2 linked regions of the Rhinolophus ferrumequinum genome follow. The protein of the gene in region 1 interacts with the protein of each later gene in a biochemical or structural test. Links are inferred from orthologs where the notes say so. Each region holds a gene or a part of one and is shown on either strand. Other genes may lie near its edges. The genes, in order: CREB1 and RPS6KA5.

Region 1 (11,004 bases):
ACTGTACTATGAGAGAGAGAAAACTATAGAGACTGTTTGGGCTGAAACAGTAATAGGAGGTAGAAGTCTGTTCAGGACTGTAAGAACCTCAACAAGAGTTAAATTCACTTTCATAGTTAATTCTTACACAGCTTATTTGCCTTTTCATGCACTGAAGCTAAAAAGGTAATTGAGGCAGTTCAAATAAATTCCTGTCACAAAATGCTATTTCTCATTTAATGAAGTATTTCATTCTAAGAAATAAAGACAGAATGACAGATTCCCTTAGTTTAAAAGGTCATATAAGACCTAAAAATAAAATCAGCTCATTAAGTGGTTGATAAATATAGGTAGATCCATACGATGGAATGCCTCAATAATAGTAATAATAATAATAATAAAGCTCTTTATGTATTGATACAAACCAATTGCTAAGCAATCTTAAGTGGAAAAAAGCAAGATATACAATAGTGTATATAGTATATATATCTTTTGTATAAAAAGGGGGGGTAGGAAAACACATACATATTTGCTTGTGTACAGATAGAATACCTCTGAAAGGACAAGAAATCAGTAACACTTGGGTGACTGGGGTGGGGGTGACACACATACACGACTTTTCCTATATTTTTTGTTTTGAATTATGAACTGAGTGAATTACTTATTAAAAATAAAATTGGAAATATAAAACTATTAATATTCTTTTTCCATTATTTTACCAAGTATGATTTCTCTTTCCTTTGATCGCTTTCTTATGACATATTCTGCCTTATTAGTCATTGAGTCCCTAAAAGTTTCCTTTAGGGTAGAGATAAGAGTGTTAAGTAATTTATTTTTTGACTTGCTGCAGCTTCTGCTCCACTGTATTAAACATAGTAACATTAATGATGAATAATTTTAATAATAGGAAACATTTGCTGAGCATTTGTGAAATACCTGATATTTAGTATGTATTAAATATTTTTATAGTTTACATGTATTAACTTATTTAATCCCCACATTTCTGAGGTAGATGTTGTACATTCATGACTGAGGAAACTGCCCAATGTCCCACAACTAGGAAGTTAAAATAAAACTTAAAATGAGTATCTATCACTGAGTCCCTAAGGAGGTACTTTATAATAATCTCACAACCATATAAAGTGGGTGGTATTATTCTAATTTAACAAATAAGGAAACTGAGGCTGAGAAAGATTAGGAAATTTCCCGTAAGTCACAAAATTCCTTGAGGGAAGGCACATGACGGTAATGGCCAAGTGATTCCAAACCTAACGCTCTTTCCATTAACTACATTCTCTGTCACAGTAAATTATAACTAAATATTTGAATTACCATAAACTGTTGTCTCAAGTGATACTGTGGTAGAAATGAGTTCACACGAGTAAGAAAAACAAAAATCCTTGCATTTTTTCCCCATTCCCTATCTACTATATCCATACATTCAGATTGGAGCTCTGACTATTCAATAAAGAAGACGTCACTCGAAGTAACACTGTTCATGAAGAAAGATATAAGACTGTCACAGGCTGCTACAAAACAGTGCATATAACTATATCAGACAAGGTATTTATGGAAGAAATGAAATTATAAATTTCAGTGATACATTGTAAACATTATGTTACAAGAAAAGTTTTTTCTACTATGGGAAAAGATTTTTAAATTGAGGTGAAGTGGGGGATACATACTTGGTTTTATTGTAACCATATATACTCCAAAAAACAAAACCCCGTGTTTTAGGAGACAGAACAAAGCTACTTATCTAGGAAGAAACAAAAATTTCTATTAAGGAGATCTAATCAAGAAGATGAATTTCAGAAAGCAGAAAAAAAGAGGTGCCATTTTATGGATCAGATTTCTAAGTTTCCTTAGGCTCTTCCGTGAAAAAAAAAAAATTCAAAAGGGGTAACACTAGATTTTTAAATCCCATTTAAAACATTTCCTAACATTTTTCAATTTCTGTTAAAGATTCATTCACTTTCTGAATACAGGTGTCCATTAAAAAATAAAAGTTCAAGCAGATTTAACTGATTTTTACTGATCCCTGAGAGGGTATAGAAATATAATTTAGTATCATGCTCCAAGTGAATATTCAATTAGTGAATATAACAAAGTTTGAAAAGTTTTACCTGGAACTGCTAAGAATTACAGATTATGAATCTATAAATAAAAGATCTTTTGGATAAGGCTGAAGAAAAAAATCCATCGGAAAACTTTTTTTTTCTTTTCAAATTTCACAGTGTTATTGTTCTGTATTTTCAGTAACGAAAAAAATTTAATCAACATACACTGGTTTGCAGAAAATCTTTCTTAAGGAAAAACAGTGCTCTATAGCTTCATCAATACTGTAACTTCCTGTGTTTGGAAATAAAATCATCTTCCCAAGCCTTATGGAAAAATTCTTTATTACATCTTAAGTTTTTCAATAACAAACTGCTGATGTGTTGTTGTTTTTTTTTTTAAACTGGCAATACAGCAAAAAATAAATAAAGTTTTGGAAAAGTGACTTGGATACAGAAAAATCAGAAGACAGTTCTTTACCAATCAATATTTATTCCTAACAGGAAACTTTGTACATATTAATCAATTGTATCATACTGTCATAGATTTTTAAAACAACCTGTTCATCTTTTGCACCACCTAAAAGTAACCGTTTTGGCTTTACTTTTAAATCAGGAAATGTGCAGTGAGTGTAAAAGATTTCAGTATCTGGCAACCAAAAGTATCTTTTATACTAAACCTTTAGAAGGCAGAACGGATGCAAGCTAAGGCCAGAATGAAATTCTATCTTCTTAAGAAGGTATGACAAACTTAAATAGGTCATATTCCAGGTCCTTTAAAAATTATCTTTTAATCTTTAATGTGTCAATGCCTTTTCTGCTGTGGCTTTTCCCAACAGGGAAACAAAATAAGCCTTGTGGTTTAAATTATTGTCAGTCTCAGGCTGGGGTTACCTACTTCATGGGAGACAAATAATGGATACTTTTAAATGCCTATTTTTTGTTAGTATCCATCAATATTATTGAAGTTTAGATAGAAACATGTGGGCAACAGGGTAGGAGGTGGGATGGAGAAATCCCGAAGACCCAAACGCGGTTAGCAAGGTTGGGGAAAAAAGTGATGTAAAGCAAAAGTACGTCGGCTAATATTCGTTTCAACGAAGTGTTTCAGAATGATAGATCTCAAATGATAACCTTATTGAAAAGGGTTAAAACCGAAACTGTTTTCAAACACCAGCTTCCCTTTTACAAGATCCCAACAGTTTTTTAAAAGTTGTTACAAATATGTTTTTCTTAGCACCCCCTTCCTCCCCAAAAGAATGCATTTCCATGACTACTGAGTTCAAAAAAAAAAAAAAAAAAGAGGGTGAGGGACAGAGTCAAAATTATCTAAAAATGCACGAGCCCTCATCATCTCAACTAAGCAGAGAAAACAACAGTGTTTCCCCAACGGGGTGGGAGCAGGGGGAAAGGGCATGAATAAAATACAGGACGAGAGGAAACCTTTGGTTTCGAACTTTATTGCACAAAGAGAGAGCGGAGAAGAGGAGGTCAGACGTTGCCGCGCTTCTCCGCGCGAAGCGGGCACGGCAGACAAGGCGGCTACCGGGAAGGCAGGCACCTTCACCTCCTCTGCCCTCCACGGTCGCCTTCTTCCTCCTTCACCCCCCGCAGGCACCCCGGCGGCGCTGCCCGGGCGGACGGCCGGGCCGGGGGCGAGGCGGGCGGCGGGGGCCTGGCGAACCGCATGGGGGCCAGCAGCGCCAAGATGGACCGGGACGGGCAGGCGGCCTCCCCCGGGGCGGCTCCTGGCTCCCGGCTCCGCGCCCGCCCGGCCTGGCGGCGGCGGGAACGCGGGCGCCAGCTCACCGCGGCCAGCCGCCCGCACACACCCCTGGTCGCCGGCTCCCACCCCGCCCGCTGCCCGCCGCCCCCCGCCATGAGCGCCGCCGCTGGCTGCAGGCAGAGTCGCTGCCGCCCCGGCCGCCGCTGGCTCCAGTCCGCCGCCATTATTCTTTGTTCGCTGCGAGCGGCGGCGATGTTGTGGGGCTCGGGCGGAGGCTCCATCTTTACCGCGGCCCCTCCTGCGAGGGGAAGGCCCCGAGCGCGGGTGTCCGGCGCCTCCCCGTCCCCCCTCCGTCCCCCCGGCTCTCTCCGGCTCCTGCCTCCTCCTCCTGCTCCTCTTACCGGTGGTACAAGCTCCTCCGTCACTGCTTTCGTTCGCGGCCCGGATCTCGCTGGAGTTTTATTCTCTCCCCCACGTAACACACCGCGTCAAACTACACCTCCGCCGCGTCACTCACCAACACTCCGCTTCTCCCTGCCGCCCGGGCCACAGGCAGCAGCAGCCGCCGCCGACTGAGGAGCCGCAGCCAGGGAGCCAGCCAGCGCCGCCCAGTGCCGAGTGCGCAGCGGCCGCGCACGGAAACAGCCGAGTTCGGCCCGGAGGAGCTCGAACGGCCCCGCCCCTCGCGCTGGAGGCGGAACTTCCCGAAGGCCTTCGGGCTCTTTCGGGCGAGGCGAAGGGGTTCCGCCAGGAGTAGGACGGCGAAGGTGGGCTGAGACCAGCTGGGGGAGGAGGGTTCCAAGCCCGCTGGGTTTTTGGACCGATAAAACCTGGCGGCGGAAATTTGAAAGAGGAAGTGGGGTTGGTGTGTGGCGGGGTGGGGAATTCCCGAGGGGTGTCGACGACTCGATGGAAACCCCCGTGTGGGCCTAGCCCTGCGGCGGTAAGCGGCGGGCGCTAGGGTGGCTGCGGCCGCCGGCCCGGGAACTTTCAAACGCTGCCGGGACGTGGAAGGCGCGCCGCGGGGTCTAGGACGCGGCTGAATGCGGGAGTCGTGAGAGGTGGGGAGGAAGGGCTGCTGCGCGTCTGCAGACGCCCCCAAGGCCGGGCAGGGCCGGGCGCTGGCACGGGAGGCCACTGCGCTGGGCCGGCGCGGGCCGTGGGTCAGCGGGGCCCCGGTGGGGAGGGCTTTCCTCCTCACTGCACTGGCCTGGCGGCCCCGCTCAGAATCAGCTGAGAAACCTGGCGGCCGCCGGCGACACTATTCTATTTTGGGGGTGGTGGGGGTGGGGATGGGGAGGCTCTGGGACTTGTGGCGTCTTTGCGGGGTTCAGCCCGGCTGCGCGGGCATCCAGGGTGATCTTCGGCCCTGCAGGGCCTCCTAGCAATGACCTGCCCTGACCGAGGTTGCTCTTCGCCACTTCCGAAATGTCTGCCCTCCTCCCTCACCTGCCGCCTTTTTTCTGGCATCCTGCTGTGTCGCTTTCTTTTCACAGCCTGTTTTCTGCAGCAATGGTTTGCACCCACCGCACCCTGTTCTTCACCACCCACTCGGGCTCTAAACCCGACAGTGTGACTTCTGTTGCCTCGCGGCTACTGAAACTCCTCTCTCAGAGGTCGTCCAAGGTCACGATGTTGAAGTCATTCTCCTTTTTATTGAACCCTGCAGCCCTCTCCCTGGGCTCTCAGGTCTTTTATAATTTTCTTTCTGTCCCTTAAAGCAAACCTGTCTTTAGGAAGCTGGTGAGACGGTCCAATCCTGAACTCCACCCCTTATTGGCTTCCTGTTACAAAGAGTAGCCCTCGGTGGTACTCGTTTATTTTTCCCTTCGTGGTACTCCGGGTCGATCATCTCCCGCTTTCTTCGGGACTTTGCGCTGAAGCGTATCCACCTTTCCTTCTGTTATTTTCAGTCTTTCCATCTCTACTGGCTTTCCTGTTTAGGATTTAAACATGTTTAAGTCTCACGTTTCTTTAAAAAGATTTGTCTCCTTAAATCCCTCTCCATCCATGACTTAAGTTGTCTCTTACCCCGTGGACATTCTCTCATGTCCCAATTCTCAACTCTCTCCAGTGGAGCTTCTGTTCCTACCACTGGACTGAAGCAGTTCTGATTTGTTCCAGACAAGCTTCAGTCATCATCTTATGAGACTTTCGTCTAGCATTGGACACTATCGACCACACCATCATCCAGGTAGACTCTTCCCTCTGCTCTTATATCAAAGTTTTCCTCTGACCTCTCTGGTTGCTTTTTAACAACCAGCTTCTCCTCTTTTATCCAACTCTTAATGATTGGAATCCCACTGAACTGAGCCCTCTCCGTGAGCCCCACCATATACACTTTCCTAGGTGGTCTCATGCTCTTCCAGTACCTTCAGATACGCTCTGCCAAAGTCTGGCCATCCCATAACTCAAGCCTAGATCTTGCTTTTATCTCTAGATTCATATTCCAACTGCCATTACTGCAGTTTCATTGGATGACTGGGGCATGTCATACTCAACCTGTATATCATATTCCCTCCAAAACCCTCCTCCCATAGCCCTGGGATCAGTAAAAGGCATCCTATCCATCTACTCATTTCAAGCCAGAAACCTGAGCTGTCTCTGACACACATCAGAATCACCTAGACCTGTCTGCCTTTAGAAATTGACTTTGTGGCCTCTCTCCATTCCTATGACCACTTTTCCACACCCCACTCTAGTCTAAGCCACCTTCATCTCTTGCTTGAAGTACTGCAAGTAGCTACCATCCAGAGCCTACGGAATTGCTCTTGGCTCTTTCCAATACATTTGCCATGCTGCAGACACCGTAATTTTACACATACAAATCTGATCAATTCACTGCCCTGCTTGAATTCTTTCGGTGGCTTCCCTTTGCGTACTGAACAGTCTAAGCTCTTTATTGTGGAGACCAGGCCCTCCACCACCTGGGCTTGTCATTCTCCCTAGCCTCTCCAGCTGTCCTCCTAGCTTTGCGCACCAGCCATATTAATCTTATTTTTTCCAGGCTCCTTTCTCTTTTTTACCCTTACTGTAGGCTCTCACCTCGTTATTTACACATACCATTCCCCTCCCTTGGAATTCTTTTCTGTCATCCTCTCCTACCTAATTGTAGCATCCTTTTCTGATTTATCATACCTGTAATTATTTATTTAGTGTCTACGTAAGGTCTGAGCCTGTGGGGACCATGTCTGTTTTGTTCACCACCAGCTTTTCCCCTTCCCTTTCATCCCTGACACAAGCACAATGTTTAGACTATAGCGGTACTCATTAAATATTTATGGACTAAATAATGAATATCTGTGCGGTTCTGGGATAAATTCCTTAATATTTTTAAATCCCAGTTCAAATCCTGGCTCAGTCACTTACGGCTATGCGACTTTGGGCAAATTGTTCACTCTTGTGCTTCGGTTTTCCCATCTGTAAAATAAAGATGATGACAGCACCTGTGTCATAGTGTTATTGTGATATAAAATGAGATCATTCATGGGAAGCGTACTTGGAACAGTGTTTGGTATATGTGTATACGTATTCAGTATTAATTAAAATGTTGCCTGTTACTAGATTTTAGTTGCATATCTCACCCTTGTGTCAAATACATTGTAAATTTGAGTTTAGCGTCTCCCTGCCCTTCTTCTTACCCTTGGCATTATTTACTCTGCTAGTCTATATTTATTACCTACCAAATATGGTCATTTTTTATTTTAAAGTTTCCTCATGTTCTGCCTCTCTGTTCACACTGACCTTCATGTAGGCTGTACCTCTTTATGTTATAGTTACTTTCCTGACTTCCTAGGTGCTTTCTGACTGCTGGCCCACTCCCCCTGCTCACTTGTGCCCTAGTGACAGTCCAGTGGGCCTCGGTTAGTAAATCCTGTATTCTTGCCTTCTTTCCTGGTCTCTTTTCACTTCACTTTGTTCACTCATTCATTCAATCATTCATTCATTCAAGTGCAAGTTATTTTACTAAGCATTTTGGATATACTTCAGCTTTGAAATCTAGTCTCCCAATATCATATATTCTGCTCTAGCATCTCCATACACTGTAGAAATGAACTAGAAATATTAAACTTTCGGCATCCATTTTTTGTCTCTGGGATTTGGAAAATACCCCCGGTTTTGACTTAAATTTTTATTGGAAAATATGGTCAATATTGGGGAGATAAAAGTAGAGAAGAGCACACGGATGTAACTTGACATAGTATTAAGTGCCGCAAGAGAGGTCCAGAAAAGGGGGAGGGTCTCTTGAGATGATTATAAAAGTTTTCAAGGAGAAGATGATATTTGAGAACTTTTCTCTAACCACGGCTTCCTTTTCCTGTTATTTTTCTCTTGCTTCCGCTGTTGAACCTAGTTTTCACCCTCACTGCAAATTCAAGTTCCATGAACCCTGCTTATTCTCATGACTTAATTTGCTTTCCTACCTAACCCCAAGGCTATGGTGACTTCTCTTGTTTATTCTAAAAATAAATATCGAGTGGCACCTGCTTTGTGCCGTATACTTTTAGAAATTGGGGATCAGTGCTATTAATGTTATCAAAGCTCATGAAAAAAATCTCATGATTTGAATTGGACTTTCCAGATAGTTTTCCAACCGAGAAGAGGAAAGCACTGATACGTTATAACTATTCCTGGTCTGTGTACCGGTTATGGTTCCCATGTAAATTAATATATTTCTTCTTAAAATTAATCTTAAACAATAATAACCAAAAAACCTTTTTCCGCTTCCTTCTCTAGCTACTGCCCCATTTATTTTTTCTGTCTTTACAGTAAATATCATTGAAACAGTGCTCTATTCACTACCCCACTTCCTTTTCTCTCATTTTCTGTTGAATCTCCTCCAGTTATCTCTTGCTGTCACCAAAAGTGCTCTCCGTGTCACTTACTGTGCTCAGTCTTTGTCTCACTTGACCCATCAGCAGTATTTGACACAGTTATCGTTCCTTCCTCCCTGAAGCACTTCTTCGCTTGTTACACTTGTTTCTTCAGTGTTACAGGATACTTCACTCTCCCGGTTTTTGTCCTGTGCTACTGGTCACTATTCTTAATCTCCTTTGCTCACTGACCGCTTCATATTGGAGAATGCCAGGACTCTGTTCTTGGATCTCTTCTATTTCTATACCTGCTCCCTTAGTGATGTCTTTAGGGCATTAGATATGGTCAGGATGCTCCCAACTCCCTAGTCTCAGATCCGCACTTGTACGTATATCCGGAATTTCAGCATCTCCACTTGGATGTTGCATAGACGTCCCCATTTTATTATGTCTGACACTGAACTCCTCATTGCCTGTCCCCTCAAAAACCTTTCCCTACAGCCTTGTCTCTCAGTTAATGGCAACTCCAGCATTCCCACTGCAGAGGCCAACTCAGTAACTCGCTCACCCCCATATCCAATGTGTCATCAAACCCTGTTGGTATCAAAGTATACAACCACTCTTTCCATCTCCACTGATACCACCTTGGTTGAAGCCCCTGTCACCTTTGACTAGGATTTTGTATCAGCCACACTTACCCTTCATTCTGTTCTCAGTATAGCAGCCAGAGTGATCCTTTAAAACATAAAGCCAACCACACCATGATTCTGTTCAAAACTATCCAGTAGCTCTCCGTCTCAGAAAAAGAACAATTCTTACAGCTAGACCTACAAGACCCCATTTCCTCTCTGCTCTCACTTCTGCTGTTCGTCCCTTCTCTGCTCAGGCCTATTGGCCACCTTTCTGATCCTCAAACCCTTTGGACATACTCGCTCCTCAGGGACTTTGCATGTGCTGTTCCCTCTGCTCAGAAGGCTCCTTCCAGACATTTTTATGTCCTCTTCCCCTCTTCAGGTCTTTGCCCAGATGTCTCCATTTTCTGTGAGGCCTTCCCCTACTATGATGAAAACTGTCCACCCTACACCCCACCTCTCTCTTTGCTCCTTTGCTTTCCCTTTCTCTCTTTGCTGCTTTATTTTTCTCCATAGCACCTATCTCTTTCTGGTATGCCATATACTTCACTAACTTATTGTGTTTGTTGTCTGACGCCTCTAGGGCAGGGACTTGTGTCTCTCTTTTCACTGCTGTATCCTGAATATCTAGGATAGAGTCTTGTACATAGCTCACACTCAAATGTTTGTTGAGTGAATGCAGTTGAAATTCTGGATTTAATATTAATCTCCTGGCATTGGTTAATTTAAACAGGTCTCCCTCAGCCTGATCACCTCTGGATGCATCTATAAATACTGAGTTTCTGTATTGCAGCCTGAATCATGGTGGTTCCACCAAAGTATGGCCTTCTTGTGGGGTCTGATTTCAGCATGGCCATGCTCCCAGCCATCTCTGTCTCACTTCCATGTATAGTATTCTTCCTCGTAATCCACTCTTTCACTTACCCACAGTCAAGTATGATCTGAAAACATTAAATGGAAAATTCCAGAAGTAATTCTTATGTTTGACATTGTATGCTATTCTGAGTAGTGTGATGCAACCTCACGCCGTGCTGCTCCATCTTGCCCAGGATGGGAACCGTCCCTTTGTCCAGCCTATACTCACTGTATCCTCCACTTGCCCTTTAGTCACTTAGTAGCCATCTTGGTTATCAGATCAACTGTATCAATACTGCAGTACTTGTGTTCAAGTAACCCTTATTTTTCTTAATAATGCCACATTCACATAACTTTATTACAATATCTTGTTGTAATTGTCCTACTTTATTATAGTATTAATCTCTTACTATGCCTAATTTATAAATTAAACTTTATCATAGATATACATGTATGTGTGTATGTATGTGTAGGGAAAAACATAGTATATATAGCGTTTGGTACTATCTGTGGTTTTAGGCATCTACTGAGGGTCTTGGAATGAATGCCCTGTGCATAAGGGGAATCTGCCGTAACCTGAAGGAGATGAGGACCTCACTGAAGGTTTCTGATCTCCCACGTCAGAACTGAAGAACCGATCGGCAAGATTCTGGTTGCTTTTAATTTCTGTTTTGAGGACCAAATGGTAAGCAGCATTCTCATCTTGCTTGTGACTGAAAGCAATGCCATGTAAACAAAGTTTGCCTCTTATCCCCCTAGAAAATTCAAAAAGGCCAGTGGTTGACAATTAAAACCGGTAGTAGTAACAAGTGAAGATTTATCGAGGGTTTACTATGCGCCAGGCACTCTTCTAAACACTTTTGACATATTAGCTAATTTAATCCTCATCATAACCCAGTGAGGAAAATACTAATATTAGGAACATTTTATAGATGAGTTAG
Region 2 (10,973 bases), on another chromosome or scaffold:
GCCAACTGTCATGAGGACATTCAGCCATCCTTATGGAGCATCCTGCCAACAACATGAGTGAGCCGTCTTAGAAGGGGAACCTCAGCTCCTAAACAAGTCTTCAGGAGACTGCAGCCCCGGCCAACATCTCGACTACAACCTCATGAGACACTCCGAGTCAGAACCATCGAGCTAAGCAACGCCGAAATCACGTCGCTTTATACACCCCTCAGTTTGGGGGTAATTTGGTACCCAGCAATAGATAACTAATACCCCTTCCTTAACCCTCTCCTCAGCTAGGCTCTCTCTCCTAATGATGGACACCTAAGGAAGTGTCTTCCCAGGAACCCTCCCTCTTCTAAGAGTTCCTTTTCACCCCCACCCGTAATAGCTGTCACGTTAGTCGGACATACTCCCATTCCCCCGCCTCAGCTGAATGATCCAAAAGAGGGCACCTGACCAGTCGGGCCAATAATGTCCTTTCCTGATTTGTATACGTACCTTAAGCTAAGTAAAAGGCAGTGTCTCTCCAGCACCTGAAGCTGTAAGATCTAAAACTTGAGGCCTGTCAGCAGGCATGTTCTTTCCCATGTGGGAAAAGTTGGACAGCAGTGGAGAAGAATAAAGTCATTACACACAGACAAGCAAAGACGGAGAGAGTACAGACAACATAAGCCTCTGGTTCCAGCGATTCCTGATGCAACTCTATCCTTCCAGTGGGAAGACCATACGCAACCCCAGTACCTAAAACAGCACTCAGTACATAAGAGGTAATGAAATAGTTATTGAATAAGTGAATGGATAAGATAACCCAGTACCCTTCCAATAATACCCCCACCATTTCTTGTTGCTGTTTTTCAACAGAATTAGAGTCGATTATTTGAAACCTAAAAGTCCTAACCTTTTCTTTGCTACCTTTATACTCTGTATATCCCTCTAATATTATACTTATGACAATATATTCTAATGACTGGTTTACATGGCCTCCTCCCCTGCTATCAGAGGGCAAGACGTTTTCTTAGTCATTCTGGTATCATCAGGACCATCTAGTCTAGAAAACATAAAGTGCTCAAGAAATACATGCTTAACCAGTCTAATCAATTCTTTACTCTTCATTCCTTCAGCTTTTATAGCCACTGTCATCAATTTATCAACCAGCTAATATGTCCAACGTACTGAGAATACAATAAATGGTTAGACTTGATCTTACATTTTCATCCATTCAGTGAATTCATTCAATAAATATGTGAGTGCCCACCATATACCAGGGGCTGAAAATAGACAAAGGACATGGATAAAGAATAAAGAACAAGGTCTCAAGGGCCTTACTTTCTAGCACAGACAAGTAGATTGATTATACAGTATTTGTGTGAAATGCTATTAAAGAGACATGCACAGGCTGCTTAGCAGCAGCAGGGATTGTGGGGTGTTAACACTCTACTTCAGAAGACACGTACCGAAAAAGATGATAGGCAGGCAATGTGGCATAGCTTGCCCACAAATGAGCGATTCGTTTTCCAAGTGATATTAGACTAATTCACACACTTGAAGAAAAGACACTGTTATGGAGTGATTTTCAGGTTGACATTCAGCCAACATCTCCTGAGTGCCTAATACGTGCCAAGCAACCTGCGTAGCACTTTTCCAACAGGGTCTCATTCAATTTCTCACACTCTGTAGATGCTAGAAGTGAGTCTGAAAGAGTAAAGTGACTCATCTAAGTCTACACAGCTATAAAATGGCAGAGCTGGGATTTAGAACGAAGTCTTCCAGGTCCAGTCTACACAACTGCAACAATTTCCATGCCCTTCCATGTGACTTTCATTGCCTTTTCATGCATCCTACCGCATACCATACAGTGTTGGCCACAGATGGGCAATCAGCAACTGCTAACTTGATATGACTATAGACTTGTCCACATTTTGAGAAGCAAGGGACCATATCAGATCAAATTACCTTGGCGCCTATTATAGCATCATGTGCTGACAGGAGCACAGTTGGCTGAAGATGAGTGAATTTTTCAAGCTACATTTTAACAGTGTTTTTGACCACTATATCCGGTCAGCAATAAATCAAAATGACTATTCATTTCCTTTGACAGTTAACAGTACTAATGAATTCAGTGTAATCTCACCATCCATCAGAAAAATTTCTGAAATGCAAACTTGAAGCTGATGATTCACACAGTAGAGAAGGGGAAATAAAGCAGTACTCATTGTTTTCTCCAAAACTAGCATTGTTTGCAAAACCCAGAAACTGAGCAGTTGGTTGACTATTAAAAACAAATAAGTTGCTCTTTGGTCATTTAGCAAAAAGCTGCTTGTTGCACTATGGTCAGTGACCAAGGAGCGTATGATTCAAGTAGCTTTTGCAGTACAGCACGATTCTACATATATAAATCAGTGACTCGTTACGTAAGCTAAGAAAAAGAAATTAAAAATCTCCACACAAGAAAGCACCTAACCCTGAGCCAGGCACAAATCAGATATTAATACTGAATACATGTTTTAATAGGCCTTTGAAAACATCAGTTATCTATTAAATTGAGAGAGAAAAATCAAACCAACCAAACCCACACAGGTTATATTAGGAACTTAAAAAGATTATGGAGTAACTGACTCAAGATACATAAATTCACAACGACCAAAAAAACAATGTTTAAAAATGTTGAAATTAGTAACCATGCATTTGACATCCTCTTAAACCAACTCACCACTTGGCACTCCGTGGAATAACTGACAATCAAATTAGAAATAACAAAAACTAAAAGAATAGCGACAGATCGAACTTTACAATCTGTTCAAAACAGTAACAAGATGTCCTAAGCGTGCACCTGAAACCTGCTGTATAAGCTTTGTGTCTACATAATCAAAGAATATCCAATATTCCAAAGTAGCTCCATCAAAAACCTTTATAAATGTCCACAAGAATATTTAATAGTAATAATGAACAACTCACTAATGTAGTATCTGTTCAGAAATAAAAAAGAATCTCTTATATGAAACTGGGCTCCACAGATATAAATTCAAACTTACTCATTAGTCCAAATAAGCATTTTCTAATAGGAACCCTGACCCACACAACGAATAAAGTAACAAGTATAAAGCTGGGACAACTCTAGTGATCTCAAACATCAGAACGTAAGTGCTTAAGCCGGCTAGCTAGTCGCTTTTACCTAGAGCTTTAAATTTATAGACTCTTCATCTCAAGAGACCTCTGAAAGAAATTTAAGGCCAAGTATAGTATTTCATGACAATTGCAAATAAAAGCACTCAGTCCCCGGGGCCTGCGATCCCTCTTTATCTCACTGGAGAATGCACGCCTGAAAAGCGCTGGGACAGCCTCCCTGTTATCTAGTACAGGACCCCAGCACCTTAGGGGATGGTTCCACACAGCCCCACCAGGACCACCTCACGGGAAGCAGAGGGGTGGAGAAGTGAGTCACGCTCCAAAACAAAGTGTCGTTCTCCCCACACTGAGGAAGGCGCACCTTTTACCCCAAACAGGATGCAGTGACAGATGTGTCACCTGTGCGGGAAGGGGGCCCGAAGACATCCTCGGAGACGAGTGCCAACAGGCAGCTGTCGGCTGCCCCACGGGCTCCAACGCCCAGCGCCCGCCGCTCATTCCCCGGCTCCCGAAAACTTTCCGACCGCTCCCCTTGGGCGCGCCCCCACATCCCGGGACCCCGGCCTCCTGCTCCGCCCGCGAGGCCCCGCCCCGGGCCCGCCCCCCGCGGCGACTGCCCAGCCCCGCGCCCCCCCCCCGGCCCGCGCGGGCACCCGCGTGCCCTCGGGGCGCGCCCCCGCGCCGGGCCCGGCCGGCAGAAGGCGGGGTCGCTCACCCGTCCGCAGCTCGTGCTTGACAGTGAGGACCTGCTCTCCCCCGGCGCCTCCGTCCCCGCTGGTCCCCGCGGCGCCGCTGCCGCCCTCCTCCATCTTCTCCGTTTTCCGATCCCGCGGGGCTCTACAAGGGGACCCGAGAGACAGAGGACGCCCGGCCCCTCACAGCTCCCGCTGCAGCCCCAGGAGCCGCGGTGCGGCGGCTCCAGCACTCGGACGCAGAGACGAGTCTCTTTCCCGCTCTGGCCGCACGGCTCGCTCCTCCGCCTCCTCCCCCTACGGCGGGCACCGCTAGTACCGCGCAACCAAACCGCCCCCTGGTCCGCCGCCTCCTCCTTCAAGCCGCTCCGCCCACAGCCAGCAAGGTACAGGAGCCATTCGAGCCGCCATCGCTTATTGGGCACAGAGCGCGCGCATCTGTCAACGCCGGCTTCCATTGGGCAATCCGCTCTGATGCTTCTCGAGCTACCCCGCCCCGCTCCTCGAATTGTTGTTGCTTGGCGGGGAGGCAGGAGAGGGAGGAGCGCGACCACTCCGATTGGTGAAATCGAGATTGTGCGCCGCCCACTTCCACTGTTGCGCACGCGCAGTCGGGACCTTCCCTTCCCTGACCTCCCCAGAATGGTCACACCCCTATTCCCCAGCTTCGATCTGTTAGTAAATAGTGTCTAGTAGTCAGGAGGATCTCGGGGTCTCTGATTGGCTAATGCTGAAAGGGCGGAGAGGGCTGATTTTAATGTTTGGTCTGCCAATCACCGTGGACAGAGGCGTGGTCTGGGGAGGGGAAGTGCTTCTCACACACGTGTTTGCAGACGTACCTGAGGGTCCCAGATAGCGATACACAGATGTGTGACAGCTGGAAGACAACGTGTCTTTAAAAAGGTGTTATTCGCTCTAGTGAGCCCTAAAGAAGTTAAGTGGATTTGTACTTAAATACAGGTAGTTCTTAGCAAAAATTCACAATCCCAGCTCTCCAGAACTTTTGCAAAGGATAGACATTTCCATTTTGTGCAAGACGCATCCTAGGCACCAAAAAGATACAGAGATTAATAAAATAAAATATAATCCCTGCCCCTGAGAGACTTTCAATAGGACATGAGAAACAGACAATCTTTCTGTATATACAGGAGACCATAGAGCTGGATTTGAAATAAAACAGTCATTCAAACTGTTAGAGAATTACACAGATGGCAATAATTATTCTCGGTAGAGGAGGTGGGGAAGGCTTTTAGGGAAAGGGGACATTTGAAATAACCAACTTAAAGAATGGGGAAAACGGAAATACCAGAAGCAGACATTTCCTACAGAGATGGTAACTTTGAACATAGGCCTGGAGGTAAAGAAGGAAAGGATGGGTTAAGTAAAGATGGGCTGCATGGAGTACGATGTAGAAGACGCTGCTAAAAAGGTAAGATGTGGTAAGATAATGGTGAACCTTGACTACCAGGCTAAACAGTGCAGATTTTATTTAATTAAAGATGGGGAGCCTCAAAGACTAGTTAAGGTGCTGGCTTGGTTATGTAACCCGCACATGCAAGCACTTATGTAATTAGTTGGCCATCAGCTAGAACCAGTTGGCCGTCAGCTGTAACCAGTTGGCCGCCAGCCACTATTGTTCTGTATGCTATATAACTGCAGCGGCTACGTTGGCAAGTGCAGGTCTTGAGGATTCTACTTCCTGTGTCTCCTCCGGCCACCATCGAGACTGTGGTGCAGGAAGACCCCTGGTTAAGGTATTGGCGGATGTTTGCTTCCCATGTCTCGACCAGCCGCCATCGAGAATCTAGTGGTATGAACCACCTATCCGTGGCTCCGTTGTTGTTCCTTTTCAGCCTTACCATATCCTGCGTTCACCTGCTGGGAGCTGAGCCCCTCCATTACAAATATCAAAGTTGTTCTCTTAGAAGTTAGTTAGAAGGATAGACTGAAGGGAGGAAGAGAAAGATAGCAGGGCAAAAACACTCCTGCAAAGACAGAATTTAGGGGGGCCTGATTTCTGGCAGTGGACATGAGAATGGGAAAAGGAGAGGATTAAAGATGGAAACTTGGACATAATTCACATAGAAATGAACTTTTAAACTAAGCATGGATTAGATCAGAAGTGAGCAAAGTTTTTCTGTAAAGGACCAAATAGTAAATGTTTTAGGCTGTGCTGACCATGTGGTCTCTTTCACAGCTATGCAACTCTGCTATTGAAATCAGCCATAAGCAATAAGTAAACTAATGGATATGGCTGTGTTTCAACAAAACTTTATTTATGGACATTGAAATTATAATTCGCATAATTGTCACGTCATAATGTATTCTTATTCCTTTAATTCTCTTCAACCATTTAAAAATATAAAACCCATTCTTAGCTCTTGGGCCATAAAAAAAAAAAAAAAAAAAAAAAACAGGCTGTAAAGCAGACCTGGCCTGCAGGCCATAGTTTATAGACTCCTGGATTAGATTGCCATGGAAGATAAAGCACAGACGTCTGGACAGCCTCTTCAGGTTGCCCTCAGCTCCTGGGGCTTACCTGCCTGGAACATTTATCCCACTAAACCATGACTGTCTACATACTTGTCTTTCTTCTTCACAAGTAGTGAGCTGTTTGTAGCCAGGGAATGACTGTGTGCAATTGTTCATTTGTTCACTTAACAACTTTTACACCAATTATCTACCAAGTACTGTGATAGATGCTACAAGCACCATGAAAGCAAAACATGCAATCCCATCTAGAAATGGAAATAAATCTTAAATCATTACATAAGGAAATGGAAACTTACGATTGTGATAATGAGGCAAAGGAAAATCATAGAGTGCTACAATAGAATATATCAGGGGGGTCTAATTTAGGTCAGAAAAACTTGAAGGCCTTTACAAGGAAGTATTATTTAAGCTGATTCTTTAAAGATGAGTAGGTTTTACCAGGAAGTGGCAGAGACTGGCCTGATGCTCACCAATCTCGTTTCCTCTTCCTGGACACACAGAAAAACTACAATTTTTTTTTCCTTTGAAGTTAGGATAGGGTCATGTGACGTGATCGGCCCGATGGGGTGTGAACAGACACGATGTGGGCCTTTCCAAGCCCGGCAGAGAAAGCCCCATGCATAATCACTCACGCTCTTTACTCTTTCCACAGCAACTACAAAGGCTGCATTTCGAATGTCGGGGTACCACAATTTAGAGGACCCCTGAACCCCTGAGTCTTGAAGAAGAGCCACCCTGACCTACAATCAGACTGTCATGTGAGCAATAAATAAATCTTATCAGGCATGAGCTATGGCGATGTTGGGGTTGCTTGCTAACGAAGCATAATCTAGCCTACCTTGATGATTTCACAAGTGAATTATTGGGGGGATAAAATTCTAGGAAGGTGCAGATGCAAGGTCGTGAGGCAAGCAAAGGGCCCATTGTATTTTAGGGATTGAGAGAAAGCCAACAGGTCCACAGTAAGCAAGAGATGAGGTGAGGGAGGCAGGCAGATATCCAATCACAAAGTGTATGGTAGGACTTATTAATATTTTTGGAATTTTTTTTTCCTCTGTGAAGTTAGAAGGAATGGAAGGAATTTAACAGGTGAATGGTATAATTGGGGTAGTATTTTCCAAAGGTCACTGTGGTTAGTGTTTGGACACTGGGCTGGAGGGAGCAAGAGGAAATACAGGGAGACAAGTTAGGAGGTTATCACTGTATTCTGGGCAAAAGATGACAGTGGATACAGTAGATATTGAAAGAAATGGAATGTTTCTAGATATACATTTTGGACTTCATAAAGGATTGGATTTGATGGGTGAGGGATAAAAGGGTTTCTGAAATCAAATTTTCTCGCATGAGCAACTGGGTAGATGGAAGAGAGTGGTGGTACCATTTAAGGAGAGCAGTGAATTAAAGGAAAAGCACATATCAGAGAGAATATCAAGAGTTTCCTGTCGAAACATCCAATGCCAATATTAAGTAGCTATGTGGATATATGAGTCTGGAGCACTGCAGAGAGATATAGGATAGAGAAATCATTAGCATATAGATGCTATCTGAGGCCACAATATGAGTAAGCTTCCCTGGGGAGAGAATGTGCGGACAGACGAGGAGCACAGGACTGAAATCTAAGGAATTTTCACGTTGTGACATTGGAATGAAAGGTGGAGCCAGAGAGGTAGGAGAAAAACCTGGAGAGTTTGTTTCTTGGAAGCCAAAGTGTTTCAAGAAGAAGGGAGTGGTCACATGCCCTGAAAGGTCACATAAGATGAGGTGTGGAAAGAGCCCATGAATTTGCCAACTTCGGTGCCATTGGTGATAATATCCAAGGCAGTTTCGGTAGAGAAAATGGGAGGTGGAATAAAAACAGTGTGTGTGGACATCTTCTTCAAGGAGTTTGTCTCTGAAGGAAAATAGAGAAGGAAGGATTGAAGGAGGTTTTGTTTGTTTACTTTTTATTTTTAAATAATTTTAAAATTGCAGAAGAGTTGCAAAAACAGTACAGAATTTTCACATACCCTCCAGTCAGCTTCCCCTAATGTGAATATGTTACAGACCATAGTTCAATCATCAAAACTGAGAAATTAACATTGGCATATCATTAAATAAAGACTCTACAGATTTTACCACTTTTTCCACAAATATGGTTTTTATATTTTTAAATGGTTGAAAAAGAATTAAAAGAAGAGTGTACTGTGACACGTGAAAATTATGTGACATTGACATTTTAGGGTCCATAAAGTTTCATTGGAACACAACCATGCCCTTTCTCTCTGCCAAGATCCAATCCAGGACCTTACATTATGTTTAATTGTCATGGCTCCTTGGTCTCTCCCAATCTGTAGCAGTTCCTTAGTCTTGCCTTAACTTCATGAACTAAACTCTTTCGAAAAATACTGGTCGAGTACTTTGGAGACTGCCCTCTGATTTGGGTGTGCCTGATATTTTCCTGTGAGTAAATTGAAGTTGCACATTTTTTGTCAAGAGTGCTACAGAGGTGATGGGGTCTTCATCAATTCATCTGATTGGGTACAAGAAATGTATATTCTTAGTACTTGTGGGGTTAACCTCGAGCACTTGGTTGAGGTGGTGTTTGCTATGTTTCTCTACTCCAAAGTAATTGTTTTTCCCATTGTAATTAATGAATACTGGGAGGCCTGTGAGATACTTTTAGACTATGCAAATATCCTGTTTCTCATTAGACTTTCCCGCACTAATTTTAACATCCACTGGTGGATATTGCCTACAGCAGTTATGGCTGCGACATTCTAATGGTAATTTTCTATCTGATGGCTTTTTTAAGATGAGAAATGCTGGAACATGTTTGAATGGTGATGAGATGGGTGGATGGGGGAAAGGTTGAGAAACACTGAAGTGAATCTCTGACAAAGTGGGCGGGGCTGGGAGCCTGAGCTGGCTGAGAGGTTTACTTCTGATGGGAGGAGGCGCCACGTCCTTCACCAAGGAAGGAGAGGGAGAGGAGGAGCCAGAGGCAGGCACGGACCAGCTTATAGACTTGGGGGTGTCTTGGCCATGTCATCTCGATATCCCTGGCATGTAAAATAGGTTCTAGCTTAAAATGGACTTTCAGTAAATATTTGTTGAATGAATGAACGAATGAAAGAGTCAGAAACCTACATTTAAAGAGTACATATAAAAAGAGGAGCCAGTTTAGGGTATAATCTCAGTAAAGCAGGAATAAGCCCTATGAGCTAATCCCACTTGTTGAGAGTTCATACCCACTCAGATGTTCATTCATGTAGCAAAGACTTTATTTCAGAGACGCAAACCCTGTGCTGAGTGATGGGGGAGATGGGAAGAGATGGACCTGGGAACTGAAGATGGTGGAAACAGTTTGGGACAGTCACTGTGAAAAATAAATATAGCAAGCCAGCTTGGGTAATTGCTGCCTAACACTGGGGGCCCAGGTGGACTTAGAAAACCTGAATCAGATAGTTTAATATCTTCCTCTAGCAACTTACATTCCCCCTTGGGGATGGAGACTAGCAGTTGGGCATCAGCCTGGTTGAAATGAGTGACCCTGGGGCCTAAGCTGAGGGAGCAGGCAGTGAAGCCCAGGATAAACTGCTAGCCTGGGAGAACAGGCTGGAGTCCAGGAGCGGGAGTGAATTAACATAAAGGAGTAAAACAGCATTTCTCAACTTTGGCTGCACATTGGAGTCCCCTGGGATGTTTAAAAACAACAACAACAACTCCCACCCCTGAAAAGTGCAACTGAATTGGTCTCGGAAAGGGCCTAGACTTCAGAATTCTTTTGAAAGCACCCCTCCCTCCCGTGATTATAACGTAGAACCAGTTTTGTAATGTACAACTCTGATGTACAACCAACAGAGGAGAGGATGGTGAGTAAGAGCAAGTTGGAGTTCTGAAACAACAGCAACTTTTCAGAGGTAGTAAAGATGTTAGGAGGAAAAATTGCAAGTCAGGGGCTAAAGGCACCAAAAACAACGGGTGGGGGAGCTTAACTGATCAGACAGTGATCTGAGGTCATGGCTTGGGGTTGAAAGGAGGAAAAATTGTTGAAGGGGAGTGAGATAATGGACGGTGGTCTGAACATAGTTGCTGGAATTAAGGGAAATATCACTGTTCCCTCCTGCCCTGAGAGACGGGCAAGTAGGGAGGGCAGGTCTGTCCGTGAACGGGCTGGGAAAGGGAACGTGTCCAGGAGAAAGTCACGTATTTCCTAAAGCCGGGAAGAGTACTAGAGAAAAAAGCTTGAAAATACGTTTGTTCCCTTAGAAACTGCCTTTTGCCAGGCCTGCTGGAACCTGGCACAGGAGTGGGGCCCTCTGCTCACCTCCTTATCTAGTGAGCCTGTATCTATGGCACTGTGCTATGTGGCTTCATTGACCCTTAGCACGGGGAGGGGGAGAAGGAGGCCTAAAGCAAAGTGGGGACGGCCCTGTTGGTGTGAGCCGTTAGGACTTCAGGAACTCACTGTTCATGCAGTGTGAGTGGGAGCTCCTCAGCTTTGGATTTATAAGAATTAGGATCAGGCCCCCCCCCCTTTAACTGACTCCATCAAAACACACAGCTGTATATCCAGATAAGAAAGATCAAAAAATCAAAAAATCAAAAACGACATTATCCACATCTTGATTCTGTCTCTGACCCTGTCAGAACCTTCCCGGTGTGATGCAGATCCAGTAAGCTTAAGGGACTCACTGTCGG

Evidence for each region.
Region 2: of the proteins of CREB1 (region 1) and RPS6KA5, one has a biochemical effect on the other in vitro, tested with the Homo sapiens proteins (3 studies listed by BioGRID, with this or other methods). The link is inferred for Rhinolophus ferrumequinum from reciprocal best matches to the Homo sapiens genes CREB1 and RPS6KA5.

What each region holds. Positions count from the first base shown.
Region 1 is NC_046291.1:25,102,820-25,113,823, forward strand, and holds the start of CREB1 (cyclic AMP-responsive element-binding protein 1), read right to left. Parts: upstream 4,391-11,004; 5' UTR 4,280-4,390; exon of another isoform or gene 4,164-4,279; intron 1-4,163.
Region 2 is NC_046289.1:11,155,799-11,166,771, reverse strand, and holds the start of RPS6KA5 (ribosomal protein S6 kinase alpha-5), read right to left. Parts: upstream 4,270-10,973; 5' UTR 3,918-4,269; coding exon 3,824-3,917; intron 3,616-3,823; exon of another isoform or gene 3,470-3,615; intron 1-3,469. UniProt on the Homo sapiens protein: Serine/threonine-protein kinase that is required for the mitogen or stress-induced phosphorylation of the transcription factors CREB1 and ATF1 and for the regulation of the transcription factors RELA, STAT3 and ETV1/ER81, and that contributes to gene activation by histone phosphorylation and functions in the regulation of inflammatory genes.